Linked DNA regions of Lytechinus pictus. The protein of the gene in region 1 purifies or fractionates together with the protein of each later gene. This does not show direct contact. Links are inferred from orthologs where the notes say so. Each region holds a gene or a part of one and is shown on either strand. Other genes may lie near its edges.

The links.
Region 2: the proteins of syntaxin-18-like (region 1) and sec1 family domain-containing protein 1-like purify together in Homo sapiens (affinity purification with mass spectrometry; 5 studies listed by BioGRID and IntAct, counting the BioPlex papers as one, with this or other methods). This does not show direct contact. The link is inferred for Lytechinus pictus from reciprocal best matches to the Homo sapiens genes STX18 and SCFD1.
Region 3: the proteins of syntaxin-18-like (region 1) and vesicle-trafficking protein SEC22b-like purify together in Homo sapiens (affinity purification with mass spectrometry; 5 studies listed by BioGRID and IntAct, counting the BioPlex papers as one, with this or other methods). This does not show direct contact. The link is inferred for Lytechinus pictus from reciprocal best matches to the Homo sapiens genes STX18 and SEC22B.
Region 4: the proteins of syntaxin-18-like (region 1) and vesicle transport protein USE1-like purify together in Homo sapiens (co-immunoprecipitation; 4 studies listed by BioGRID and IntAct, counting the BioPlex papers as one, with this or other methods). This does not show direct contact. The link is inferred for Lytechinus pictus from reciprocal best matches to the Homo sapiens genes STX18 and USE1.

The regions. Positions count from the first base shown.
Region 1 is NC_087256.1:16,138,320-16,145,877, forward strand, and holds the start of syntaxin-18-like, read left to right. Parts: upstream 1-4,558; 5' UTR 4,559-4,604; coding exon 4,605-4,760; intron 4,761-7,558. UniProt on the Homo sapiens protein: Syntaxin that may be involved in targeting and fusion of Golgi-derived retrograde transport vesicles with the ER.
Region 2 is NC_087251.1:20,938,190-20,946,032, reverse strand, and holds the start of sec1 family domain-containing protein 1-like, read left to right. Parts: upstream 1-4,829; 5' UTR 4,830-4,877; coding exon 4,878-4,908; intron 4,909-7,266; coding exon 7,267-7,337; intron 7,338-7,843. UniProt on the Homo sapiens protein: Plays a role in SNARE-pin assembly and Golgi-to-ER retrograde transport via its interaction with COG4. Involved in vesicular transport between the endoplasmic reticulum and the Golgi.
Region 3 is NC_087259.1:20,212,519-20,220,507, reverse strand, and holds the start of vesicle-trafficking protein SEC22b-like, read left to right. Parts: upstream 1-4,987; 5' UTR 4,988-5,564; coding exon 5,565-5,639; intron 5,640-5,946; exon of another isoform or gene 5,947-6,143; intron 6,144-6,985; exon of another isoform or gene 6,986-7,293; intron 7,294-7,856; exon of another isoform or gene 7,857-7,989. UniProt on the Homo sapiens protein: SNARE involved in targeting and fusion of ER-derived transport vesicles with the Golgi complex as well as Golgi-derived retrograde transport vesicles with the ER.
Region 4 is NC_087249.1:30,180,959-30,188,624, reverse strand, and holds the start of vesicle transport protein USE1-like, read left to right. Parts: upstream 1-4,659; 5' UTR 4,660-4,844; coding exon 4,845-4,943; intron 4,944-7,666.

The DNA.
Region 1 (7,558 bases):
TTGCAGGGTCACCGGCCCTAACTTCAATATTGTTCCGATACCTATATAGGAGCAAACGCTTAAAAGGAAACCAAAATCCAAGAAAAGAACCAATCTTATTGAAAAGAGTGAAATGAGAGGAACAATTTAAAACAAGTTTGATCAAAATCGGTTATGAAATGAGCAAGTTATGGACGTTTAAAAAGTCTTGTTGTTCCTTCTTGGCAAACGTGCTTCAAAATGGCTGATTTTGTGGACATATCTCCGATTTTGTTGTACACAAATTTTCAGATTTTCCCCTTTATTTTACATATTTCACATTATCTCCTCCTGACCTTGACATATGTGGTGTGAATTATATTTTCCTATATGACAAATGGAGAGTTGTCCTCAAAATCAGCCATTTGGAAGCACGTTTGCCAATTTGAGGATCGACATAGAAAGTACAACAGGAGTTTTCAAACTCCATAACTCGCTTATTCTATAACCGATTTTGATAAAACAAGTGTTAGATTGCTCCTCTCATCTAATTCTTTCTGATAAGATAGAGTTTCTCCTTGTCTTTTTGGTTTCCTTTAATGTGTGCCCCTTCAAGCATGTCCGGCACTGCTGAATAATTATGGCGGCATATCCTTGAACTAGTATCTCCAACTTTTGGACGCCCGTCGATTTTCTGGTCATGTTATTGCGAGCGTAAGACTGAGTTTTTAATTGTTTTTCACCTCATTTTCTTTTTTTTTTAACTCCCCCCTCTAATTAACCCTCATACTATTCAAGTGGTTCTATGACATTTGCTCCGCCGAAATTTTATTACTCCGCTGTTAATTCCAGACACTGAAGGAATTACCCATTTTAACCATGGGTTTAACATTATCATGATTATGCTTCATCCTAAACCTAACCTTATATTAACATAGAACCCCACTGCTACCCAAACCCCATCTTAGAGGAAGCCCCGAGTAACTATCGACGGATCAAAAGCCTTGTCACCATTTAGGTTGGGGAGTGGGATGAAATAATAGGTCACCCCGCCCCCAAATAGGTTCACCGCTTGGGTTTACACCAGCTCTATTTAACCCCTTGAAATATACTATCAGACTATATAGGACATGTAGACAGAGTTGTGAATTTGCATCCATGGAACATGTATATATCAGACTAAGAGTCTAGCTGATATTTATCAATATTTCAGTTATAGTAGCAGACAGAAATTTGTCGTTTTCGCTAATTATACAGAGCTGCATGATAAAAGTTGAATACGTTGTAATTTGTATGTTGTTGTAAATAGCAGTAATCCAAAAATTAATCATCTTCGTATCTTATATTCGTTTTACCTTATTGTGATCAAGGTTTATGTTCAACAATGCATAAATGCAGTGGTGATGAGAACAATACTTTAAAACTCATTTGCTAATGATGAGGTATTTTGACCAGCGCTTTGATTGTCATCACTGTAACCGCTCTTTTTATAACTTGCCTATAATGAGCTCTGTCTTCAATTATTGATCAATCATTCACAATATATTTCGATCTACTTCCAAGGTTGATGTTACTATTATGAATAAAGATACAAATGATGGAACTATTGTATCCATTTTCTGTTTTACATCATTCATCATTAATGCACGTACAGTGTATACTTGAAATTTGTAATTTGTTATTTTCAATTCCTCATAGTTTTACCTTTTCTTTATTCTGTACCCTCATAACTCCCTTCCCTCCCCTCCCCCTCCCCCTCTCTCTCTTCCTCTATTAGTCTCTCTTCCCTCTCATCTTAGAATTACCCCTCCATCATGTTGCTCTCGATGGGCCATTCAGTTCTAATACCTAACCCAACTTCAAATGTATTTTGTGCTCTACTGTCTTGTATGGTGTGCAATGTCTCTCTCCCTCCCTTTCTCTCCCTCCTTTCCACTGTCTCGTTCTCACTGTCGTGCGTATGGCAAGCCGTTTTAACATTTAATCATATTTCTTGATATCAAGAAATCGAATTCTTGATATCAAGAAATGGTTTTGTGTAGTTAGGCAATGGTTATTCTTGATATCAAGAAATTGAATTCTTGATCATTATCAAGACGTATGATTAAATGCTAAAATGGCTTGCCATACGTGCGATCCTTTTCGAACGCCACGACTGGCTTTTCGTAACCGATCGCGAAAATGTTTAAACCATTCAAAATACATGTATTAAACAATGTATTATGTATCAAACATGTAATAAACAATGTTTTATAATTAGTCTTATGTTATTACGTAATTTTCAGTAAGTGTGATCAACTGTTAATTTTTAGCAATATTCATTTCGTTTTGTAATGTTTTGTGATACATGTATGATTTGTTTGATTATGAATATATTAAAATAAAAAAATTGTTTAAAAAAATATGAAGCTATCTACGATCAAGACGATCGCTACAACTGATCTGATACGATCTGATAAGATCACTACGATTACTCAACGATTAAGACAACCGTTACAATCATGGCACTATTCGTGAGAGTGGGCAGCAATCAGTGTTCCATTATTGTTATCTTGTTTACTCTTCAGTTTCAAATAATTTTAAGCTGGCAGAACATTCGTAACTAGTGTATAATATGATATCACAAGAATTTGTCTTACTTTATTTATTTCGATTTATATTTTAACTTAAATGTGAATAAAGAAACAACAATCAAACTATCGTATTCATTGTCTATTTTCCTTGTCTATCATTTAAATCATGATGAATTGTATCTGTTCCATTTTTGTTTTAAGCCATTTCCCGAGCAATGAGCTCAAAATTCAGTAATAATTTTGCATTAAGATTTCTATAATCCAATCACAAAGCTCGTTAGATAAGAATCCAAAAGGCGTATATAATATATATTAGATATAATGAAATTTTCACTGATCTTGATCAACGGATGAATATTGCATGTAAAGATTAGAATGTGAGATGATAATCCACTATATAGTTCACATTAATGATTATGCAATTTTACCCAAATTTTAGACAAGTAAAATTAAGTCACAATTCGTTAGGCTTCCAGAAAAATGCAATAACTTTTGATTTTGACAATTAGTCGGATTAACAATAGGATTTTCAAGTTTTTTTTTTGTTGTGTGTGAAATGGATGTGTATGGGAACGAGTATGATAGAAGAAAATGATTCGGGAGCTTTTTGTGTGTGTATTACCCACAAATAAACACAATTCCATTGGTTTTTTTTTTCCAACGAGAGATAATAATGCTCGAACAATGAAATCTAATAGGTCTAAATGTGATGCCCTAATAGATGACACGAACAGAGAAATGTTCTTATATTAGACACCCAATGAATTTGTTTATTTTTAATCCTCCCGAAATGTAAAGTACAAGCAATAAAAAAACGTGAGAAAGTGTTATTTATGGACGTTTATTATGGTATGCCTATATACACCCGGGGAGCGTTTCATAAAAGGGCATGTCAGACGTTTTCTCTGACAAATCCCATTTTAACCGACAGTTACTATGATAACAGTGCCTTTCAGCCAATCATAATCAAGGAAAGTTGTCAGACCTGACAACTTGTCGGATGCAAATGTCGATGAAACGCTCCCCTGAATCTAAGCTACATGGGAGAATTTACAAATTGAAATCGAGATTGTGATCCCTCGTTATTCTTTCCTTGGAGACGTTCAAGATCGGTCCTAGAAATATTAATCTGCATGATATAAAAGATAAAATGCTGTAAAAACACAAAAATAGTTTTTACACACGCACACGCTGACGAATGGTGTTATAAAGGCAACAGTGTTCCCCAAAAGACGTCGACACCGATCGCCTAGTTGTCTGAAATGATGTGCCAGGAAAAGGAAGGCGGCGGCGTCCTCACAGAATAAAATAGATGTTAGTTGAACATAATCTATTGTCCTATTCTCTTCCCCCTTTTATTTTTCTTTTGGATTGCATAATGATTATTTTTATATAAATAAGAAGAGAAAATTTTAGGGACGGTTACATTTAACGTTCATAATTTTGGAGATGTTTTCCTTGTTTTCTTTATCCCTTTATACCTTAATACTGCATCAGCTGGAAAAATACAGTTGTTTTGGAGTCAAGTTTCAAGGTCAATCTTGTTGTCTTCCTAGCTTGGATGAATTCCGATACTGATCTGCTATTTGTGCTGTACTGGTATAGTGGTAATGCCATGGTCACATTTGTTCTACGGCGGCCGTACGGCGAGTCGAAAACAGCCGTTTTAACATTTTTTGTCCAACTACATATAGGTGGTTTGAATCAAAATTGATAAAACGGCTGTTTTCGACTCGCCGTACGGCCGCCGTAGAACAAATGTGACCAAGGTATAATGAAAGGGCACTATTCCCATGTGCCGCTGCGTAAACATAATGTCACTCAGACCAAAACTTGTGTAGCTTTGTCTTGACTTATTGTTTCTTTAATTCTACTCTATCTCTTTCACTTTCTTTTGTTTTCTAAATTATTTCTTATGTGTTTTATAATAATTTCCTTTTACTCTTCTTTTGCAATGATCTTTACACGAGATTTAGCGTGCGAATGTACGTAGCTTGGTTTTATTTTTTAATTTTTACTTCAACGACACCTCTTAGAATGACGTGTGAAGCTAAAAAGTAAAAATTTGTCAATATGGCAGCAGACAGAACCCCACTCTTCAAAGCATCAATTAAAACAGTTCGGACAAGAAATAAAGCTCTTGGAGTTACCAAAGATACTTCTAAGTCATCCCTCTTGAGTCATGCAAAACCCATGAAAGATGATTTTGCTTTAAAGGCAAAAGAAGTGGTAAGTATTTTTTAATCGGTTCCAGAGCAGAGGCGATAGCGAGCCGGGCCGGGAGCTCAGCCGACTCGGGGGCCCGCGGCGGGGGAGCTCAGCGGAGCTCCGGCATATGTGCACTAGAGGCGCACAGACACTGCACAGGCAGGCACAGCCAATATGGGAGAGATTATCTCCAACTTCTAACACCAGTATTTAAAGGTCAAGTCCACCCCAGAAAATTGTTGATTTGAATAAATACAGAAAAATCAAATTAGCAGAATGCTTTAATAAAATCGGATGTAAAATAAAAAAGTCATGACATTTTTTAAACTAAAGTTTTGCTTATTTTTCACAAATATGGCTGGGCGCTAAATGCAGTTTCGCACCGGCCGCCGGCCGATTACCAGCATACCTCATCACCAATACTTGTTCCCAAATGTCATGACAAGTCTCTCAGTCACATTTCGAGGTCAATATACCCACCTCTTCCAAATATCGGGAACGGCTGTATTTCAGCTTTGATCTCGATGTCGTTGTTCGAATCCTCTTCGCGGATCGCTTGGATTCGCCGTGCGCCGTAATGTTGATATGGACTGAAGTTATCAACCAAAAGATTCGCCTGCAGCATGCTGGCAGTTTGTTCGCCACATGTTCGCATGATTTGGTTGCTAACTTCAGTCCCTCCCTGGGTTAGATAGGGCGATGCCCTGCGCAGGTCTAATATGGCCACACATCGAAACTTCATCAATTCAAGTTTAAAAAAACATCCATAAATTTGGACCGATTTGAACCCAAAATTCATGAAATGCAATAAAAATGTGGTGAAACATAAAATGAGCTATCAGATTTGAGCTTATTTTGAGCGGATTACGTTGGATTTTGAAGCTAAATTTGGTATCAAAATCTAGCTAAAATTCCGCTGGTTACGATGCCGCCATATGCACTGTACAGGGGTACAATCACAGAGGGGGAAATGTAACCCAGGGAGCTCCCGCCCGCTGCGCGGGCGGGAGCCCAGGAGCTTACCGTGTATTTGACCATAGTCACCGGACTAGGGTGATTTATGGTCTAAATATTTCTCCAAATGAATTGTGAAAACAGAAAGTATACAATTACCACGATTATATGGATGAAGGTCTAACGAGTGGCAGTTTCCTGACATCTGGGCACAGACTGGAACCTAAAAAAACGAAAAGTTCTCTCCTTCTACCCCCGTTTCGATCGGCCATTTTTGTTAAAAATCGTAACAAAATTGTGCACATCCGCGAGAGCATGCTAGTGCGCCATGGCCGTGCCTACCTCTAGGCAATATCAGAGATTTTTGTATCCAATTTTAGATACGTTTACGTTTGCTGGAAAATGATAGTTTGCACCTGAAATTTGAGGTGCTGAATTATGACATGTCACTTGACAATCGATGATCGTTTTTTGTTGTGTCGTTGCAGGAACGCCCTTAGCTGCACGCATACGGGCATTGTGTAAGGGTGTTGGAAGTGTGGTGCTAAGGGCGTTCCTGCACCGACGTGACAAATTGTCAACTTATTTCACAATCACCAAAACACACACCAAAAACATTGCATTGTTATGCACAGGCATAATCGCTTACCATCGAAAAGTCCTAATTTAAACTCAAAATTTCCTTTAAAAAAGTAATATTTTACCCTTTTAAAGCTGCGGAATCTGCGTCATGATTCCAGAGCACGCGACAGCATAGCCTTATCTTAGGCTTAGCTCAGATTTGATAAGCGGGGTCGCTGAAAAATCTGTGGTTTTGTTCTGAGTTCATAAACTTTTGCAAATGGTATTTTAGGATCATATCTTAAAAGTGACATAATCAGAAAACCAGGACCGCATTGAATGTGCACAGAAATGAGTCAACAATAAGCTTCCGAGTGCCTTCATTTATTCGACAGGGGCACCTAGCTAGCCTAGAGGACTCTGTGATGATTTTATTTCATATTTTTGTCATTGTATTTTCATCACGGAGCCTTGACACGGACCAGATAGTTGAACTTGATGATTAAACAGGGATTTCCCTCTAGAATTACTATTTAGCCCTGCCAATTTTTACCAAATATGAAATTTATCGGATTTTGAAGATTTTATACACCTTATGCATATAAATGTGTAAAAAGTATCAAATTATAAACTTGAAAAATGAGAGGTTTCTTTCCAGACCGATCTGTGGTGGCCATTGCAAAATCTTCCCATGCTGCGTAATACAATAGTAGGCTTGACCCTTGACTCGCTTCGTTATGACGTAGCTACGATGAGCTACGTTATGAAGCGCCGTTTTGTAGAACAATCTATAGACAAAATTATTGTTTAACAAATAATTATCATTTAGGCCTACATAAAATTTTTATATTGGTTGTAAGTAAAATATAATTATTTTTTGTGGGAGATAGTCTCCTATATTGGAGAGAGTGAGAGTCGCCCATATTGGCTGTGAACATCTACTTCCTAGAGTGCGGCAAAATTTTGAAGCAGTAAAACTTAGAAGATGGTAAAAAGCGATAGAAAAAAGAATTAGAAAAGCACAAAAATTTCCATTTACTTTGATTCTTTACTTTATCATCTTTAATTACATGTGCAATAAATCCATGATTCTAAGCATGCGACCAATTCTTTTTAATGAAAAAAAGGGAGGAAACAAATTCGACACCCGTCATGATGATCCACTGTACATGTAGATTAGCTGTCCTATCAAGTATCATTTATCATGCTGCAGCATAATTTAGGCCTGGTAACAGCCAGGAGGCATTTGGACTTGGATTGGAGTGTATAATCATTACTAACACAAGGTTACTCTCCTAGATACC
Region 2 (7,843 bases), on another chromosome or scaffold:
ATTTCAAAGCCATATGTCAGCAGTGCCACCCAGCTAATATAAATGCATATGTTTATTCACCAATTATTGATTTCCAGTGGTACACCTCAAAAAAATGGATCCCCAGGCATGCAAGCTCTATAGCTTGTGCCCCTTCCAAAATCTGTCCCCCCGGGATAAGCGCTGGGGTTGCCCCAACACCTAATCGTATTAAAAAAACACTAAATACGACAGTACTAGTGAGTATGTTTCGTGGTAGGATGTAATGCTTTTATATGACATGGATTAATAAAATCATATTGAGATCTAATATTTTATGCCCATCCCCATTCTCTTGCAATCAGGTAACCCAAAGACACGGGCCTTCATGTACCAAGGAGGCAACAATGGTTTCTACAAGGCCGTCTACCATGCTGTACCCATGGTCGTCATCCCTTTCTACGTTGACCAACACGATGTTGCCGCCAGGGTGACCCCTAGGGGACTGGGAAAGGTCTTGGACAAGTTCAGTCTCAGTGTCGATATCATCCACTCCGCTTTGACTGACGTCATTACAAATGATAGGTAGAAGTAGTACTATATATTTTAATTTGTCAAATACTTGGCCTTTACTCGATATGTTTACTGCTTGTTCGAAAGTCATTATCCTAACAGTGCCTTTTCAATTAAAAATGCAAAATGCTAAATAGTTAATATGCTAACTTTTGGAGATGTTATAGTGGAAATCACACTGAAATATAAGTTGGATTAATTACTTGATGACTGTCATGGCTGTTGGATCCCGAGTTTGGTAGTCTTGATTAATTCCCGTTTTCGATAAACACATATATAAACTTTTTTGGCTATATTCCAAGTTTTGGACTAAAAACAATGGGAATCAATGTGTTTAGTTGGCTCTTGGCTTTATACGAACCGAAAATAATGTGGCCTACAATATATTTGATATAGGCTTAACCGGGGCTTAGCATGTTTAAGGGTGACGGATCATGAATGATGGTTAGCCCAAATACAATTCCTTGAAGATTCATGAAAACATTTTGTGAAAATGAGTGCCTTCCAGGTCACAATTCTTTACAGTTAAACGGATGTTTAAATAATTCCCAATGTATGTGATATATTACATGTATCTGTCATATTCCTTTGGATATACATGCACATCATCATGATCATATGCAGATGACCAAACAATACCACCTTTTTAGATATGAGAATCTCTCTCTTGATTTAAATGTAAACGAATTGAAACAGAAGAAAAGATGTCTTAAATCATAATGAAATATTATAACAAATTACATCATAATCTCATGAAGTTGATTCTTATCGTTTTATTTATAATTATTATTTGCAGCGGTACGGCAAAAATATTCAGCGGACTTCGGCAATCTTTAGGGATCACGACATTACCCCACCCGACACCGGTATATTCTGGCTAGAACATGTGATGAAATATGGAGGCTCCTATATGCGTACACCAATAAATGAGCTCAATATCATTCAATACTATTTGATTGATGTTATCCTGATTTTCATATTTTCTACGGCTTTGGTCATATAGGGCTTCTTGTTTGCTCGCGCCGTTTACTGATCCGATGCATTTGTAAAAGGAGAAAAGAGAAAGTTGAGTGACATTAATTTGTTTCTCGCTTTGAAGACCTTGGCACTGATCGGTGGGATCAAGGGCGGATCCAGGATTTTCAAAGGGTGGGGCCACATCATGTTTCCTAGGTAAAGGTGATCCTCACTTGTGTATGAAGACCATATTCTCATTCGAAATATATGCTGTGACTCTCAAAGGGGCCGGGGCACACTTGTGTATGAACAACATATTCACATTAAAATATTGACTATGTGGCTCTCAGAGGGGGAGGGGGGCTGGGCAAGGGCCGAATTTCCACCCCCCCCCCCCTGGATCCGCCACTGGGTGAGATGTCGAATTGACAGTAATTATGATTAGGCCCTATAAACCAATAGATTTCACTCGTATGAAATAAATCTGGGAAAATATGAAAAACGCACAAATATTGATTCGTGTCGATGGTCTTCGAAGCAACATTGCATTTGCCCCCCCCCCCCCAGAAAAATCGTATGTGACAGTATGGTGATCCCCCTCCAAAATCAAGTTTTTTAATTAACACAATAATTATTATAAAGGGTAATGTTTCAAAGTGGTTGCTATTGTGTGAATGCCATAATTATGTTGATTAACACCATATAGGTTGTTATTTGTAGTCGTAACTTACCTTGTATATATTAGGATTGATTTATGTTTTCTTTTATATATGTATTTGTTTGTACATTGTATTTTGTATTTTTAAACGTGTCCACTGGACCCCTCAGTAGAACAGCCTGTGGCTGAAGAGGGCCATCCAGCCCACGAGTGGAAAATAAATAAATAGATAAATAAAAATAACATCATACAAAGCATTTCCCTGTAGTTTATATGACTATGAAATCAAATCCATTTTTTCACATCTTCAATCCATATGCCTGCATTTTCACAGTAAAAGTCTTCTTGCATCGGATAGAATATAAAAAGGGTAGGCCTATACAATATCGATTCGCCACCTTCGTTTTTCTTTTCTTGTTAAAATGATTGGAATATTTACACTTTATAATAATACAGGCCTGTAATGTTATATGATATTTTTATCCCACGGGAATAAAAACAACAAAAAAATGATACGATTTTCTTTCTTCAGTATGATTATATGATATTTCCATGAAGGCATGAATACAGTCTTAAAAATAATTTAAACAACACTGTTTACTACGTGAATCGCACAGTAGTACGTTGTTTAACAAGTGCTTAAAATCTTAAACAATCAAACCTATATTATTGATGATTAAATATTTGAATTTAAACTGTTGTTTAAGATTTTAAACACTTGTTTAAAATGTTTAAACAACTACTGTGCGATTCACATTGTAAACAGAGATGTTTAAATTGTTTACGTACTTAATTTGTACCAGACAATGCTTGTTACTATTCTAATATATGATTGTTAAAAAATAGATGATCTTTTGTACCTTATATCATAAATCGTTTTGTTTAATAATAAAGAAAGAGATAATCCCATTATCTCCATTACTTGACAGGGAATTCTTGAAAATTGTAGTTTTGACTGTTAACACATGATTTACTAATTGTGACGATTTTTTTGCCAGTGGAGAATCAAATATATTTTCTGAGCAGCACTATGGGCGTAATTATTTAATTGGTTGGGTTGCAAACACATTCAGAGGTAATATCTTCCAGTGCCTGTAGGGGCGGGGCGGCATAGGCCTACAGTGGGCAGGGGCGCGAACCACTTCTTGCACTAGGCCTACGGGTTTTTTTTTCTAAAGTGAGAAGAAGAAAACAGATCGAGAGAAGAAGGAAGAAAGGAGAATAAGAGCATTAAGAAACTGAGAGAGGAGTAGGTCAGAAAAAATGGTCGTCGTGCCTGCCCCCTCTCCCTATTAAAATATCCTTGCGTCACCCCTGATCCTTCATTGCTACATAATGAACCAACTGCGAAGTAGGTATGCCTATATGTACAGGGGCGGATCCAGGATTTTCCAAAAGGGGGTAGGGCAAATTTTTCGGAGGAAAAATAATCAACCACAAATTAAGTATATTTCGTACCCGAAAAAAAGGTCTTCAATTTCAAAAGAGGGCACACCTATGTTTTAATGGCATTTTCACATTACAAATTCTAATTTTGCTTCTCAAGGCCGCGCCTGATGTATAGGCCTATTGTTGTCTGATCCGACATCGGCGGAACCTAATTGAGTCATATTCGAAAGCAACCGTGTACCGGGCACTGAGCACTATGTATACCGTTGATACTAGAAATTAAGTTTTAGCCCCGATTCCCCATTCACCCATACGGTACAAGACGGGGTCGGTGCCCATCAAAAACCCCAAGTATCACTGCAAAACTAAAGTTTACTTCTTGAAAGATCTTTTGGCAAAAATAATTAGAATTAATCGCTCCGATTACTTCTAAGCTACATAAAAGCGGCATATAGAACATGATTGGAATTTATCATCCAAGGGTGACATATCAGGTTGCGGAATCGCGATCTCGATTGCAGTCGTCACCGCCCATGTGGCATTAGCCCCCGGTGCCCCCATAAATCCAGACGGCATATCACTGATCTTCCCGCCGCCCCCCTCGGTTCAAAAAATGTTGGTGCCATGTGCACCCGGTGGTCTAATGAAGGTTTATTCGAAACTCATATTTCCCATAGACTTATGGGGGCTGTATTAGGCCCTATAGGATTTATATAATCAATTCCTTGAATGCGCCTGTAGCCAGCTGAAGCTAGCTAGCCGGGATATATATATATGCCTATTGTGCGCCATTGATAGGCAAATAGATAATCGGCGTTTCATTAATGCTCTATATTATAATTATTAATAATTCGCATAAACTGAAGAAATATACCTGATTCAAGAAGAATACTGAAATGTTAGCATATGAGTCACTTCACAGAACTTATATACCGGTATACCCCACCCTCTTTTATCATCAACTTTAATTCTTCTGGACATGGAGTTTTGAAATATGACTTTTATATCAAATTACAAGTATTCTGCAAATAGCAAAAAAAATGAATTGATTTTCAAAAACTGTTTGTGTAATTCTTTGCTCAAATTTCTTTGAAATTAATGAACCTTGTAAACGTGCTTGCTTAGGCCTTTAGCCCGATCTTCCGTCGATGTGTTTATACATGTATTCCACTTTTGTAGAGTAATAATTAGGCCTTAACTCACGTTGTCTTACCCTGAGGAAACATGGTAAAACCAGTGTAAAACTTGTTTGCTTTATTTATCTTTTTTTCTCTCACGTTATGTTTTAGACACTACCATTAATAGTCGCCAACTTCATTATTAAAAATAATTTTTTGACGACATGGCAGCGTCCATCAGAGAAAAACAGATTGGTAAGTTGAAAAAATAAATTCTTTGTAAGTTTTTCTAAACATTTTATGTGGATAATCATAGCATAATTTTATGATAGGAACAAATATGTTCAGATGAACATAGCTTTGTTCACCATGTTTTAACGTTAGCCAATTTGACAAGACATTACCGGACGAGTTGAGTGACTGTTGTCCCATGTATTATTTTTCGTGTGAGTTGTGACGTGGCTATTCTCGACTCTCGGCGCGGCATATTTGTTAAATTGTTTCTCAGACTCAGTCTCGGCCTCGTAATTAAGAAGGCTATTTTTTTTTCATACATTCTGTTTTCACAATTCATTTGGAGAAATATTTAGACCATAAATCACGCTAGTCCCGTGAGTATGGTCAAATACACGGTAAGCCCCTGGGCTCCCGCCCGCGCAGCGGGCGGGAGTTCCCTGGGTTACTTTCTTTACTTTCTTACTTTTTCTGCCTCCAGCTGCAGCTCTGGCATCTGCTCCGACCTTGCTCTTGCCTTGCTTGGTTTGGCCTTGGGCTTGGAGAATGTTGTAGAAAAGTGCACAGACGTCGACTTCGGCACCTCATGATCTTTTAACTTTAAGTAGGGTGTCTGAAGCCACACTGAAAAGTGTCAGCATAAAACAGGCTGATTTAGGGGAAAATATGGCACATTTTTTCGGGGAAGTTCAGGCTACTAGAAAAATGTGATCTGAATTGATTATCAACTTGTGTTTGGCATGTATGGAAAGAGAAAATTCAGGGGCTTCTTTTGACAGAAAGGACAAGTTTATAGGATCATTTTAAATAAGGATTTAGAGATAAATTGCAAACCCTTATTTTTGTGTGTGTGTGTTTTGTGTGTGTGACAGAAAGGACAAGTTTATAGGATCATTTTAAATAAGGATTTAGAGATAAATTGCAAACCCTTATTTTTGTGTGTGTTGAGATTGCCATTTCTCCATGCGTTTTCTATGGGAAAATGAAATTTCTGTTTTGCACAATTTTTTTCACTTTGTCGCAATTTTTCATTGTGATCTGGTTTCCAAATCTTTATAAAAATCATACCATCAGATAGAGCATAAAAAATCCTATTGGACTCTTTATGGACAAGTTTTTGGCATTAATAATAAATTTCAAACAGCTCTCGGAAGCTAAAAATTTGGATTTGTGTGTGTCCATTTCTTAACTACACAGTCTATGGCAGAGAAATGCTGAAAAATGACCTAATTTCATTCTTATTTTTTGCAGCCAATAATTGGATTTTTTTCAAAAATGTTACATTTCTGTCAGTCTGAACGTCATTTCTCTTCAAATTCACAAAGAAAATGTGATATTTTCTTGAAATAAGAAAAATAATTTTTTTCTCCAGACACCCTACTTTAAGAATTGAATTTTGTTTTGTGTTTGTTTTCTTGAATTGAGGTTCACTTAACTCTGTATCGGTAGGCCTACTGTGTCTGTAGCTTATTATTATACTGTTTTGTAACAAGAAATCTAATTTATTTCAATTGTCTAATTTTTGTAAGTTAAAATGAATAGTAGGTCTATGGCTATTTTGTGCTTTTTTTTAGTTTAAATTTACACTTATTTCAACTCTCTCTCTTTCTTTTCGAGTTTATTACTTTGATTCTACTCAATTTTCTCCTCATAATAGCAATCAACAAACATATAAACATACAATATAATACACAATATAGGTAAAATTTTGCTTTAAAAAAAGAATAGCATTTTTGGTCATAAGAGAAAAGCTCTCAACTAAGTAATGTACAGTCCTATGTAAATATATGCTTTAAAAAAACTTTATACATAGCAGTCTTTAAAAATTGTGGAGCAAATTGCGATGCAATACCAGGAAAATTATTCCCTGCAATAAAATTTGTAAAGAACATGAGTGTAGGCAGTGGCAAGAAAGGACGAACCTTATAAACGCCAACCCAAGATACTTAACATAATGGTATAAATTGAAATAACAGAAATTATTTCCAGTAAAAATAAGACAACTAAAAGCCGAACAAACCCTAGACAAACTATAATACCAACAAGAGCTTATATATCAATGCAAATAATTCTGACCAAGTAAACAAGTTTTATATATTTCTCTTTTAAAACATTTAGTGATTTACTTTAAAACAAATTTAAGTTGGAATCAAATTCCAACTGTAAGACTTATGGAATGCTAGTAGAGCACATCCCAGTGGATTTTGTAAGAATTTGGTCATGAATAATAATGCTAAATTGCTTATGCAGCTAAAAATTTATGTTTAGATAAATGATTTTCAATTTGTTACAAATAGCAGTACCATATTATAAAACTTTTCATGTATGAAGCGAGGTGAATTAAAAATGTTAATTTATTATTATTTATTTTTGTACCAGCTGCTTTGAAGCGAATGCTGAATCTGAATGCAGTTCCGACAAAAGCTTCACTTGCAGAACCAGCATGGAAGGTAAAACAAAATATTTAATGAGTATTGCTTTTGACCCACACCTACAAATAATCATCCTCTAGTATACAAATAATGAATGTTTATGAGTGCAATGGACAGAATTTCTTATGAGGTGAAAGATGAAATGATCCATTTACGCCTCACTGAATGAAGTATTCTGTCCATTGCACAAATGATAAGAGCATTCATTATTTGGTCTATATGACACCTAAAAACAGATTCTTTTTCATATGAAATTTATGAATGCAAAATATGCTCACGCAGTGCAAGCTTGGTCTGTTGATTGTCGCGTACATACAACATGTGTGCTGCAAACACGAGTGATTTATTTGTGGTGCCTGCAGTCTGGGTGCACGCGTGCAACTGACAAAATTGTATAGATCCTAAATTGCATGATGAATAGATCCAAAGTTGCATGGATGATGATGTCATTGTAAATGGGCTGAATGACCAATATCAAACAACCAATCAAATGACAATGATCTATCTAGGTGTCATATAAATCT
Region 3 (7,989 bases), on another chromosome or scaffold:
TTTCAATCACTTGTTTTGCTTTTCGATGTTATGTTTATGTTGTTTTTGTGTTTTGTTTTGGTAACATTCCAACTTGCATGGTTTCATACCCGTTTGCCGTTTTCATTTTCAGATGCATGCTCGCTTGTTTGGGGTTGTTCTGTTTTTGTTTGAGGGAGTCTTTAATCATTTTGGTCTGTTTATTATTATTATTATTATTTTTTTTTTTGTTGCTTATTTGGTAATTCAGTACAGTGGGGAATCCAAGCGGGGAGCAAGGTCCGTGTACCCGTAATTCCCGTTTCTTTTTACATGATAAAAGTGTCAAATTAAGGGGGCTCATCCCTGGATCCGCTACTGAGTAGAATTTATTATTTTGGAGATTTTACTTAATGTTCATAATTTTCTAAAATCATATTTTTAATCTGCCATCCCGATAGTCCTGATAGTCATTCATGAAAATCTATCAAATAATTTGGTTTTTGTTTTTAGTCGCTCCAGTCAATCACCAAAAGATAATCAGCCACACGACCTATGTCAAATAGTAGATCAACACTAGCTCATTCAAACTATGGGCATCGGAGAAGAGGATTATCTTTTGTATTTTTTAGGGGGTGGATGCAACAATAGAGGTCCCCAATGAATATTAATCCTCTGCTCTGCTGACCATATCAATCCCCTCTCGTTAAGATTATATAAATTTTCAATCACTCAGAATTTTTAATACAACAATCCAAAACGGAATCAACCAGAAAATGGCGCAGCATCATCGTTTCAGTCAATTTCATTACAGACAAAGAGTCAAATGGGCAACATGTTATTGAAACTTCACGTCTTTGCAGTCAAGATGTTGTTTATTTTTTTTCAGTCTATGAAATGAATGGCAAGGTGAATGTAGAATTAATACAAATGGCAAATAAGTTTCATACTCTTGTCTTTCATAAATGGAAAGAAATCAATAAATCAAATACTTTGTAACAAAATTTACTGTTTGGCCATCTACGACTACGTACAATACATAAAATTGATATAAAATTAAGAATGATATGAATACAAACAATAGAATGTAAAAATAATTCTTGTACTGCAAAATAATTAGTACCAGGGCTAACAACTGCGTAGAATATATATTTTCTTTGTAATTTCTTGGATTTTATATTAGTTTATTTTTTACAATAAAATTAATGGCTCAATGATACTTATAAGATCTACGTCGGCCTCCGATATAGGGAAAACGAAGAGGAAATAAGGATTTCATATCATTCCTTTGATAAATCAAACAAAGTTTTAGGGAACATAGTGATATAAGAGGTCATTGAAGACTATCTTTAATTCACTCAATGCTAAATCTTTCTTGAATACAAGTGTGGTACGCCTTCTTGATGAAATAATTTGAATGAAGATAATGTACATAAATTAATTTCATCATAATGGCCTTAATCTATCATTCTTACACTATCCTTTTCATAATTATGCTCATTGTTTTATTGCAACTTCCTTCAATATCATCATTTACTGGTTCCATATTAAAACACAAAACTACTGCCCTCGCTATTGTCATTTCCTTTACTACATCAATGGTCCTTTAAATCCCCCAAAAATGAACGAGAAAAATTAAAAGGGAAAGAAAGACAAAATAACGACGAGACCGACAATTAATTTTGAATCATCTGCTGAAACTCTAGTCTCTTCACCCCGAATTTTGCCATCCGCTGTTCCCATGCCGCCAAATTTGCTTTTATAGAAACGGACAGGTAAGGGCTGGAACCATGCCGCGATTTTACTGGTGTCTTCCCATCGATCTGTGGAGAAACTGGTAAGGAAAATTTTTTAGAACATTTGAATTACACAGCATGATGGAAATTACCGATTGATATAATAGTTTAAGTTCAGAGTATGGTTAAGTAAATAAAAATATGTAGACCTACTTTATCCCTATGCGTTGATTTAGGTATCCCATATACCTCAGACGCCCTCCTTTTTGACATCTTGTCTACCATCCAATACTGAGTTGTCAACCTGCTGTTTGATATACTGTTAGTAAAGATTTGATATCTGTTTGAAAAGTCATTGAAAGTATGAACTCAAAGAATTTAAAATTAATATTAGACGAAAGGAACATTTTATTAATTCTATAAATCACTTTAGGCCTAACTCGGGCAACTGAATTCCAATTGAATTCACAACAGTAACTGATAATTCTAACCGAATTCGTCAACATTGTCATCCACTTTCGATTGATGTTATTAGCAATGATGACAATATTAAAAGGCCCCTTGTTTTAAATTAAAACGACCAAAAAAATTAGCTGCAGACCTCTGATATGTGAGGGACAGGCAAAATTGAGGGGCAATTTTCCAGCCTTTGATCTAGCAATGACGTCTTTTAAAATAACACTCGTGGAAGAGCCTTTTTAATTTTTTTTTCTTGGGGGGTCCATCATCCCTGGAACCGGATGTATTATTCAAATTAATAATAATATTGAAAATAACTATGATAACATTAAAAAAATAACACAGTTTAACTATTGAGGCCAAAAAGGAAATCACTAAGAATTAATCTCAATCACGTTAAAGGCAATATCAAAATGAGCCCTGGTCAAATTCGCCAACTTCGTCACCATCGTCATTCACCCGCTCATATTGCATTTTCACAGGCAATAAACATCTTTGTTTTAAGATTTTTATTAATAAAAATAATTGTAGGTATATTCTTAACTTATTTAGGCCTAACGTAGGCATATCATTTGCCCTATCATTTGAGAAAGATGTAGACTTCAACTCAATCACGCAAAGGCAATCAAAATGAGCCTTGGTCAAATTTACCAACTTCGTCACCATCGTCATTCACCTGCTCAAATTGCATTTTCATAGGCAATAAACATCTTTGATTTAAGATTTTTATTCATGAAAAATAATTTTAGATATATTCTAAACTTATTTAGGCCTAACAGAACAAAAAATGGATTAAGAGAAGTGTTTCACTTGCGAGGAGCAACGTATCTGCACGCTCTTCCCTCCTTACAAACACACCGGCAAAACACTCAATGTTGCGCGACCGAATTCTGGTCGAGCGCCCTCTCACTATAGGGGCAATGTATAAGCCCTCGCTACTCATCAGTTTCACTGCTAGTTGCATATTCGCTGCGACTGGGTGAACACACAAGTCTTCCCCTTCACACTCGTACCAAATTCACTACACCTACACACGAAGTCATGACGTCACAAGAGTTTACATGAGGCTGCGTCCGCTTAACTCAATAGCTAAGAAACCCGGAAGTAAACAAAACCCCCCCGACGCGGTCAATTTTAAGGTTAGTTTTTGGCTGTGTGCTTGTCTTAATCGACATTTTTTTTGAGGTGGGCTGGAAGTGCTGGTTTCTTGCATGATATGCCAAAGTTTTCTGGCTCATGCATTATTTTTTTTTTTTCAACAGCTGTTGAAACAGCTGTCTGACCGAATTCTGGGAGGTGACCGAATACCGGGCGCGTTACCCTATTTTATTTATTGGTGCCCATAATTAGTAAATTAATCATAAGAATTGCGCATTCAAAGAATTTAGACACAGTTATAAAATTACCGAGGAGCTGAATCAAGGTTGTGAAATTTATTAGCGCCACCAACGGGCTTCCTTGTATTTCCGTAGAAGAGACAAACGAAGTCACTTGCTAGGCCGAGGTAAGCGAAATTTGCTCTTTTTAAATGAAATGAGTTAAATATCATATGTATAATTTTGTTATGTATTGCTACTTACCGGAAAGAGCCCCGGTGCGTAGCGAGAAGGAGTTTCGGCAAATATTACTTCAGCAATGAAGCAATGTTTGCCGACTAGTTCGAAATCTACGGTCAAACACGGTCCGGTGTACGAGGTTCGTATAATATATACGAACCTCGTATTAGTTAACCCAGAGAGCTCCCGCCCGCGCAGCGGGCGGGAGCCCAGAAGCTTACCGTGTATTTTACCATTGTCACCGGACTAGGGTGATTTATGGTCTAAATATTTCTCAAAATGAATTGTGAAAACAGAAAGTATACAATTACCACGATTATATGGATGAAGGTCTAACGAGTGGCAGTTTCCTGACATCTGGGCACAGACTGGAACCTCAAAAAAACGAAAAGTTCTCTCCTTCTACCCCCGTTTCGATCGGCCATTTTTGTTAAAAATTGTAACAAAATGGCCGATCGAGACTGGGGTAGAGGAGAGAACTTTTCGTTTATTTGAGGTTCCAGTCTGTGCCCAGATGTCAGGAAACTGCCACTCGTTAGACCTTCATCCATATAATCGTGGTAATTGATTGTATACTTTCTGTTTTCACAATTCATTTTGAGAAATATTTAGACCATAAATCACCCTAGTCCGGTGACAATGGTAAAATACACGGTAAGCTTCTGGGCTCCCGCCCGCTGCGCGGGCGGGAGCTCTCTGGGTTACGTATTAGTGTGAGTGATACCGCCCCGGCCCTGCCAGATCAGATGCATTCTGCCATTTTCACCTTCTTCAATTGAACTTTTTTACCACGCAATTTTAAATACGTGGGACATACATTACGCAATTCAGAGCTGAGTCAGGTACACCACACATCCACGGCAAGACTTATTATATACTTGACATTATTCAATTGATTGAATAAAAATGAAAATTTAACATAAAAAAACAGTGAAATATTCATTTTAATACGTACATTATCAATCAATAGGGGGGAAATACGTAATACGAAATATAAGAAAGCTCCTCACGTTCGAAGTTCGTCGGTCAAAGTAGTTGAAGATAGCCACTACAAAGTTGACTGTTCGTTTATTTTGCAATTAAAGAATTTCAACAATATGTTTGGGGTTCAAATATATTAAATAAATTCAATTCTTTTTAATTTGAAACTTAAAAGTCTAAAAATATTATTTTTAAACTATTTTTTTTGATAAAAATAAAAAAAATCATTGACCCGTATTTTATTTTTAATACTTGGAAATACGATTCTTAAATTGATATTTTATTCATTACCACTCTCTCTTACCTTTTTCCTCTTCGGATTTCATGGTCAATACCAGACGTCATAGTATTATAAAATTCAATAAAACTGCACGTTATAAGTGTTTTACTTCGTCTATGATTGTATTATTTATTTTTTAATTGAAGATCTTCCAAAATAGTTGCGTTCTCTAAATTAAATCTTTGAGAAATGCAATTTATGCATTCGAAATTGATAATTCATCTTCAAAGTTTCTGCTGTGCGTTTTGAGATAAGGCTAATTTTGTGGTACACGTATGAATCTCTTTTTAGATCCTATACCACCCTGGAATTTCGATTTCAATTGAATTTCAGGTATACCATTTGGTTATCTTGCTATATTCGACACATTTCTCAAGGTTTTAACGAAGCAGTAAGAGAAGAGCTATCCACGCTCATCGGGAATCGACGTGCTGAGAGCTTAGAAGATCTCTGTATAACCTAGTTCAGCATCACTAGCTCCACGTATTGATTTTGCTGTAGGCAAACCTGAGGAACAGTTGCACTTGCAGTTGTCTTGTTGACCAGTCCATCCATCCATTCCTTTCTCTTTTTCATCATAAACAATTTCTCAAGATGGTTTTGATGACGATGATAGCCCGTGTCGCTGACGGGCTGCCCTTAGCAGCCTCGATGCAGGAGGATGAACAAGTAAGTTTATCTAGAATACTCATTAGAGAAAGAAAACCAAACAAATTGCATAAGTAAAAAAAAATAATAATAAAAGTACCGGTAAGTCAAAACGAGCCAGTGCAGTGTCCGTCAGTCTCCCCCTCTTTTGTTTGTGTCTGTGTGTGTGTGAGGGGGGGGGGGTGTTAATGTTATTTTGAATATGCAAACTAGTCAGTTTTGACTATTTGTTGCCATGCCTTGTATAGGCACGGCCGTAGTCACTAGATGGCGCTGTCGCGGAAGTGCTCAAAATTTGTACGCAAGCTTCGTTCGCATGTCAATCATTGCAATCGCATAGCGATGCGATATCGTCAAAATTAAGCCCCTGTTAGCGCGGATGTGTATGATATTTTCTCTTTGTGATTGTCCTCCCGTGCGATGAAAAATATGTCATCGTATTGCACAGGACTTTCGCGAGCTACCGATACCATTTTCGTGCCCCAAATTCCATGAAATCTTCCGAAAATAAACATGAAAGTGTCGGTAAGTCGAAAATGTCTTGAGTTGCTTTCAATTCTTACCTTATTTAGTTGTATTTCTTGTAAAATGGGTCTCGAAGGGTTCCGGATTTTCCGTTGATTGTGAAACTTGAGTTGATTTCCTTTCTGTGTATTGCAGTGAAATTGCAGCGCGGGGAATCGCAAGGGCTGGGGAAGCCCTTCTCAGTGAGGTTTGCAAGCTGAGCTGTCCTTGAATTTGGTCGAATTTCGAGCCATTTTAATCGCGCGCGGGATGATAAATTTACATCATAATAGAGATTAAGATTACGTCACGTACGTGCGTACATGTGATACACACAGAAATGAAATTGAACTTGAATCACACGGAATCACAGTCAAGAAATGCTTTGTTTTCTTCGTTTGCTGAATGATTTCCTGAATTTAAAATCATGAATAAACACCAGAGTAATGACATGAATAAGATAATCATGGTCATATTTGAGAAATAACTAAATATTTTCTGAAAACGAGTGAAGATGATGGGGCAGTGATGTGCATGCACTGGAAAATGAACATTCACTGTCAGTGTCAGTGCCGTGGTGTCAGTGTTTTACTGCCAATACTGGCTTTACTTTTGCCAACTACCGGTAGATTAAAAACTCATTTATTGATATGTTTATTGCAATTTTTGAATAAATGGTAATACAAAGTGGGAAAAAAAAGATAAATGAAGATAAAAATAATTTTGACTAAAAACTTGTCATGCCATCACCCCCCCCTAAAAAAAAATACCCACTATCTTGAATGACTCAGGTAATTTAATTTGTATTGAAAAAAATAAACAATTGTATTTATGCATTTTATATTTCTGATTCTTTCTGCCAGAATACCAGATGCCATCATGAATAACCTCACCACCAGGTTGAACTCCTAAACATCTTGATGATGACTATCTCCCGAGATATATCTTGCCTTCTTGAGATTGGAAGTTTTAAGTTCAAGTCAGAGCGACCTAAGGCCCTACTACCAAGAAGAATCCAGATTTACATAAAAACAAATCCCACGAAAGATACAAACTGATTTTACTATTAATGTGTAGTGTGTGTGTGAGACACTGTTTGTGTTTATTTTGATGAGGATCTCCTGTCTCTTTTTATTATTTCATTGACTGAATGAATGATCAATACCTAAAAGTGAGAACTGATTTTTGAGGAGAGTAGATAAGTGTATGGTTTTGAGTGAATTTGAGTAACTTTTGTTTTTATTACCGGTATTTTTTTCATCATTATTATTATTTTGCCTTTTATTACATATTTTCAGTTTATTTAACATTAAGTTTAAGTAACCAAACTTGATCAAAGTGTTCAATTTTTGGGATAGAATTTTGTAATTTCATTTATCAGGTAATAAAACTGAGTTTGGTAAATCTAAAAAAGGACACTAAAAATATGAACACTTGGAGATGCTCACTAAGATGAGGAAAAAACATGAAAGGAACTGGAACTTAAGTGGATGTTATAGCATGCCTTTCGAAGATCTCCAAGCACCTGGAATCATAGGCGGTGGAAGTGGGGGGGGGGGGACGTATCCCACTAAATTTTAGGTGGGGAGGGGACGACCCCCCCCCCCTCAATTTTTTGTTGATAACCTTTTTTTTTTTTTTTTTTTTGGCTTGTCAATTTTCACTTTTGTTTCCTGTGTCCCCCCCCCCCTAAGATTTTTGGTCACTATTTTTTTTTTTTTTTTTGTCAAAAAGTTTTGGCGGTTCCCCCCTAAAATTTTTGGCTTCCGCCGCCAATGCCAGGAATGATGATGTTCAACTGAGAGTCGCTGAAGTGGAACTTGTTGCAGAGAATGATTATTCCAGGACAAGTTAGATGATATTACCC
Region 4 (7,666 bases), on another chromosome or scaffold:
GGGTAAATTTCCGGGGGGGGGGGGTATCAGTCCCCGCCGGTAAAAATATGGGGATAATATTTTCCTTGAAGTAGTTGTCAGGGGGTGATTGCCCTAATTGGGTTATTGTTATAGAACCCAGGCGCAGATCCAGGATTTCGTGGGGAGGGAGGGGGGGGGGGCACCAAGTTAAAAAAATAAATGAAATGGGGGGGGGGGTGGTAGACGTCAAAGAAAATCTGATATTTCATTCTTAAAAACAAATTGAGGTATCTCACAAGGCCTAAATAAATAATGAGAACGCGAAGCGCGATCTGATTTTTTTTGTATAGATTTATCATGTATTATATCCTGAAAGCCTAAGTCAGGGGCGGACCCAGCTTCCGCCATTAGGGGGAGGGGCCATTTTTTCACCCATATTTTCCCCGATCGGCCGCTCAAAGTTGATTTTTTTTTTTGTTTCTTTGAAGGGGTTGTCCCAGTGCCGTAATGAGCCAACAATTTCGAGGGGGATCGATATGGTGTATCGCATAAAATTAATAAGAAGTTGCCAGTGAGCGAAGCGAGCAAGCAAATATGCTGACATTTTTATTACAAAAACACAAGGTTGTGATAGATTTTGACATAATATTTGGAAAATAATATTATATTTCATCCTTATCCCTTTCCTTTTCTCTCTATTTTTTCTTAGTCTTGATTCTCTCTTCTTCTTTTTTTTTTTTTTGGGGGGGGGGGGGCAAAACACCCATGTCCTAACAGTCATTTCCTAGCTTTACTTTATAAGCAACATACATGTGTAATAATCTCTTAAGCCCTATGTAATCTAAAAATGAAATTTCATGTATTTTGTCCTGAAAATTGAACATTTTGGGCAATGTTTGTGAACCTGAACAGCGTATATAACTAGATAATTACCACGAGCGCGAAGCCGAGCAGAAATGTTAAATATTCGTTCTGGCCTGGTCGAAAAGGGACATGTTAAGGATGTTTTGCAGTTAGCCATTAAGACGATACATATTTCAACGATTAAATAATGCGAGCGCGAAGCGCGAGCTGAACATTTTTGATATTCCAACCTAAAAAGATGAGATTTCAAATCCCCCAATGGGACATTCGATTCATGTTTGTCAATCATGAAAAAGGATGGGTAATTTTTGGTATCTTCCTACAATAATAATGCGAGCGCAAAGCGCGAGCAAAATTTTTTTGATATTCTGATTCGAAACTGGATAATTTTAGCACGTTTTGAATAAGATCAAGCTTTGTATCCTAAAAACATGCGTGCGCGTGTTTTAGAGTTAGACAGAATCCTGGCAATCTGAATACATTTCATTTTTCATCATAAAAATCAATAATGCGAGCGCAGAGCCCGAGCTGAAAATAATATTTGAAATTCCGATATAAAAAGGGTCAATTTAAGCACTGTTTACAGCACTGTGTATATAGGGAAATTTGATAGCACTATAAAAATAATGCGAGCGCGAAGCGCGAGCTGATATTTTATTATTTATTTGACCTAGGATCGAGACATTTTAGGCCTAAGGACATTTTGTCATCATATAAGAATGATGACTATCTTCTCTTTGTTTTCCTAAAAATTTATTTCTGAAAAAGGGACAATTTAGTTATAATGAATTTATACAAATTTTATTTCATATTTATTAATCTGTTAAGCCTAATGAGTGTGTGAAATTTGTTGACAGTGCATGAGGCCTGAAAACTGGATATTTTAAGTATTTTTGTAATCATGAATAGGATTCATTGGTTGATATATTTTTAGCAAATAATGCGAGCGCAAATCGCGATCCGTATTTTTCTTTTAATGGGGGGATTTAAGTAGTTTGTTATAAAATTAATATATAGGTATACATAACTCACCAATCAAAACGCGAGCGCACAGCGCTAGCTCATAGGCCTTTATTATTATTATTTTTAATCGAGACACCTGAAAAGGTATATTTAGAGAATCTTATATTAAATATAAAAAGACAATACATAGGCCTACTTGGCATATAGTGCGAGCGCACAAAATGTTGCAAATGTTGATTCAAACCATAAAACGGACATTTTCCAGAGCACTTAAAACATAAATTGGTAAATAAGACAAAATAATGAAAGATCGATGTCCGAGCTGAATTATGTTTTGTATATTGATATCAAAACTTGATATTTTAAACTACATATCAGCCTATTGAGCTGTATTTATATACTGACTTAAGAAGGACTAAGGTATAATTCCTATTCTAATTGCTTGTCCTTTTCTCTTCCTTTTTTCTGTTTCTTACCCCTTTTTGCGCCACCATGGGGGGGGGGGCAAAATCTTTGCCCCCTGGATCGACCTATGTATGTTGACTTGAAAAACACTAACACTTACATGTGGGATTGAAGCAGAGGATGCATACCTCATTAATCAAATATTGCGAGCGCGTAGCGCGAGCTGAATTTGACAATAACCCTTTTTTGTGACCCTGAACAGGGTATCTATCTCGCTAAACAGACTTATAACTCGAAAACATTTTTTTTTCTGTTATCGTAAAAACGGGATATTTCAATTCAGCCGCATTAATTGAAGTTTTTTGGCAGGACATATATTTTACTATAAACAGGCAATGTTGCGTCCCCGGTCGAAAATGAATTTGCATGAAGCCCTCTAAGTTCAAGGTCAATTTGGCGCCCTCGGTTGAACATAAACTTGGCGCCCCCATCATGTGAAATATAACTTTGCCCTCCCTCCACTCTCTGAAACATGTATTTGTCGCATTATGGTCAAAATTCAAATTAGCGCTCCCCTAGTTCGAACATCAATTTGGTGCCCCGCTAGATCGAACATCAATTCGGCGCCCCATAGTTCGAACGTCATTTTGGCGCCATCAAATCGACGTCCAGGTCAACATCTCCCTCTTCCGTTTCCCATCTCCTTTTCTTTCTTTTTTCTTTCTTTTATCCTAATTCCCCTTCCTTCCTTTCTCTTTCTTTCTCTCTTTCTTTCCCCCTCTTCTTTTCCCCCCTTTCTTCTATTTCCCCCATCTTTTCTTTCCCCCTTTTCTTCTCTTTTTGCTGTCTTTTCTTTCCCTCTTTTCTTGTTTTTCCTCTCTTCCCACTTACTCTCGCTCTTTTTTCTTCTTCTTTTCCCCCTTTTCCTTACTCCGTTCTTTTCTTTTCCCTCTTCCACTTTTTTTCTCTTTTCCCCTTTACTTCTCCCTTTTTCTTTTTCTTTCCTTCTCCCTTTTTTCTCTTTTAATATTTTTTCTCCTCTCTCTCCCCTTCCTCCCTCTCTCTCTTTCTTCTCTTCTTTCCCTCTTCCTCTCTCTCTCTTTTTTCTTATCTTTCTTCCCATCTTCCTCTCTATTTAAATATTCTTCTCTTCGTTCCTCTTTTTTTTCTTCTTTTTCCTCCTTTTCCTTTCTCCTTTCTTTTCTTCTCTTCCTTTTCCCTCCTCTTTTTTCCCTCTTCTTTCCCCTTTTCTTCTCCCTTTTTTCTTTGTCTTTCCTTTCCCCTTTTTCTTCTCTTCCTTTCTCCTTCTTACTCTCTTTTCTATTCTCTTCTTTTCCCATCTTCCTCTTTCTTTTTTTATTCTCTCCCTTTTCCCCTCTTCGATCCCCCTCTTTTTTTTTAGCTGGGGGTGGGGGGGGGGGTGAGGCAGTTCCCCCTCGGCCCTCCATGGATCCGCACCTGATAGAACCCCATGGCCTCGTATCATTTGACCTTTGGACCTCTCGATAACATTTGATATATCTGATCATAATTTTACACACACTGCGGACTATCGGACCCGCGGACTATCGGACCCGCGGTCTATCGGACCCGCGGTCTATCGGACCCGCGGTCTAACGGACCCGCGGTCTATCGGACCCGCGGTCTATCGGGATGTCCCCATTGGATCGGGGTCTCCCTAGCCACTAACCCGTCTCTGTGGTCTAGTGGTTAAGGCACCGGCGTTCAAAGCTGGGGGCCCGGGTTCGATTCCCGGCAGAGACATTTTTTCGGCATCACCAATTTTTCCAAAAAGGGTAGATAGCTCTGGGGAACCTTGATTTAAGCTACGCCTACCATTGTTCTCTTCATCCATTTCTTTCACACAATATATATATATATATATATATAAATTCAATATTTTTTTTTTGCAATCATAGACTGATCAATCGATCCCTCCATCAGTGTACATGATGTTGTTGTTGTGGGTTTTTTTTCTCTGGTTTTATGTGTATGGTGTGGGGTTCCTGTCCCTCCGGATGATATATTTTGCTTAATTTCATTCATTCTGTACAAGTACTTTATGAATTTCATATTAAAAATCAGTTCAATGTAAAATATCATGATTAGCGATATGTACTTATGCATACTTACAGATACTACTTTTTATTTCCAAGTCAAATGAATGATAAAACAACTATGTATGTATATTTTTTGTTTGTATCATGTTACAAAAAAGTGATATTGTCTTGATGATGTATTGAAAGAATTCAATAAATAACAACTTAAAACAAAAAATATTGTTCTATCATCCGGCTGCCATATCCATTGTATTACTTCAAGTAACAGCTGTCATAAAAAATAAACTGAGGTGAACTTGACCACTATTATTATTTTTTTGTGTAATAATGCCCCCGTCCGAAATTTTAGAATTTTTTTTTCACGAGAGAAAATTAGGATTCCTTATAAATCACTAACTCTAATTTTAGAATCTTCATAAAAAATCAAGACAGAGATCGAGATTGAGAGATGTCTTCGAAATTGGTTGATAACTTCAGTGTCAGACGGGCGATGAGCAGAATATTAACATCACATTTGCGTCAGTTTTGTCCACGTCACTTATTTCTCATCTGATTGTAACGACACTAACGTTATCCTTTTTTATATCAAAGATGCCAGCTTCTCGTGAAGAAGTAAATTTCCAACGACTTTTAATAAGATGTGAAGAAATGGCTGCGGAAAATAGATCGGGGGATTGGCGCCTGGAAAAGGTAAGCCGATTTTGCGAATGCATCCATCGCCAGCGCTAACGTCAGTCTGGCCCGCACCGGCCCCGGCCCGGCTCGGCGCATGACGGGCCGGTAATCCTTACTGCGGCAGCCCGAACACTAACCCAGAGAGCTCCCGCTCTCTGGCCAGTCTGGGTTACCCGAACACGTATGGTAGTGGATCGTATTACCGAACACTTTTCATGAATTCAATCATATCAAGCACATTATTCTCATAAAATTCACCAAACTTTCACCATAAATACACAATTACCTACAAAATATAAATATGTAAAATTTTTGCCGAAATAGTTTTTCCTTTTTACGATTTTTGCTTCCAATCGGACCCCTCTTCGCATGTGAAATATTTTGGTCACTTGAAAAAGGTATCGTATTACCGAACGTGTGTTTTCTATGGGAAAAGTTGAGAAAACAACAAAATCACTGATGAGCTATTTTGACCATATTTTATTGTTTTTAGAATATTAAGACTTTGAAAATGTGTTTTTGACAATTTTTCATCATCTTTCTATTCAAGTTCTCTTTGGAAGGATGTTGCGAAATTTTGAATGTATGAATTTTTTTTCTGATGCGTATGAATGATGCGCGCGTTCGGTAATACAAGGCCGGTCGGTAATACAATCACTCACTATACTAAAGACGTCGTGTCGAGGTTCCCGGGGCAAGGTAATCCCGGTATGCTGCGCCGCCGAATCGGAATAGTCAGTCAGACTCACATACGGAAATGCCGCTGGAGAAGTTACCGGCCCAGAAAGGTCATCCTAGAATATATGACAGTCACTTTTCTAGACCAAAAGCTTCAGTCTCTGTAATACTGTATTTTGGTTGTTCCGCCGAACTGCGTTGGCTCACTTATCACCAATACATTTATAGTAAAATGTCAGAAATTGTTGAATAAATCCCCAGAAACGACGGTTATTCCTGTCTATCAGTATCAGTTTTATTTATCACTTTTCGTGCTATTGCCTATTGGCATTGCTAGGAAGGTGTGCATTCTTCCAATCCAAGGTCTAACAAGTTAGATCTAGACTAGACAGCTGGCAGCCGTCTGTTTCGAGGAGTTTTTGAACATTTTTTTTTTTTTTCTCGTGAGTGAAGCCAACGGAGTTCAGTGGAACAACCAACATAAGTATAACAGGGACCGAAGCTTTTGGTCTAGATCTAGACTAGACAGCAGCTGGCAGCCGTCTGTTTCGAGGAGTTTTTAAACATTAAAAAAAAAATTATCCTCGTACACAGACAGGTTGTACACAGATGGCTGAGTCACGATCGCGAGCCATGTGCAGCTGCCATTTGGGGGTTAACAATGCAAAATCCCTCCGATGGGGCTTATCAATTTTTGTCTTAATTTCATAAAAATATATAATAATAACTGGACCAAAATAAAGATTATTATTCCGTTTTGGCCTGAAATGCACCAAAACGGAAAAAAATAAACTTAAATTAATAAAATTCTACCACTACAGTACCATCAATATCAAAGTCCTTACCACTTGCTCACTGCAACCATCCTGCCTGTGGGGAATCTACAGGTAGGACTATGGTATGCCAATGCTGTACACAGCACACACTTTAAAAAATCATTAAAATGTCACTTTTGTGACCAAAATTACTATTCCATAAAGTTGCAATTTATTTTTCATTAGTAACCAGGGACTAATTTTTGTATTCACCAGAGCGCTCAAAAACTAAAATTTTGGGCACATTTTTGTGTACGCCCTCTATTGGTGGAAAGTAATATGGTAAGAAAATTTTCATTTTTCAATCTCTATTTTTAATTAAGAAAAAATAATTTAAAGAATCAAATTTACTTAAGAGCCAAGTTATATGATGAATAGCTGTAATGGAAACAGACAGTGTAAAAAAATCAAGCATTTGTCCCAAAGAAAAAGAGAAAATAAGCCAAACATTGCTACCCTTATTTTGCAACACATGGAGATGTAACTGAGAACAAGGTTATATCATAACCTTGTTCATTGAATGAGTGGTCCTTACATGCTTTACAAGAGGTCTAACACAAACAGTTAAATGGATGTATAATTCACAGAGCAAAATGCTGAAAATTTCATCAAAATCGGATAACAAATAATGAAGTTATTGAATTTTAAAGTTTATCAATATTTTGTGAAAACAGCTATATGCACATCGTCATGAATATTCATTAGGTAGGCTGATGATGTCACACTCACATCCCCACTTTCCTTTTTCTTATGTTACATGAAATCATAAATGTTTCATTTTTTTCATACATGTGTAAATGATGTGTCTCCATTATGATGAAATAAGTTGCGGCAATAAATAACTAATGCACTTAATCAGTTGTCAATCCAATTGATTGAGTTCTTGGTAGAAATTTTTTAAATAAATCTAATTCCATATAATAAAATACAAAAGAACAAGTGGGGATATGACATCATCAGCCCACCTAATGAATATTCATAAAGACATGCCTAGACCTGTTTCACCAGAATAATGCAAATCATTAAAATTCAATAAACTTTCTTATTTGTTATCCAATTTCGATCAAATTTTAAGCATTTTGCTTTGTGAATTTTACTCTATTTAGATATAAATATCTCAAGTCTGGACCATCCCTTTAAGTTTAATCAACTGCAGAAATGAATACAAATTAAATGCACAATATTTAAAGTTGAAGAAGCTTTGATTAAAATTTTGTTTGTTTCTGATGCAATGGCAATGCCAAT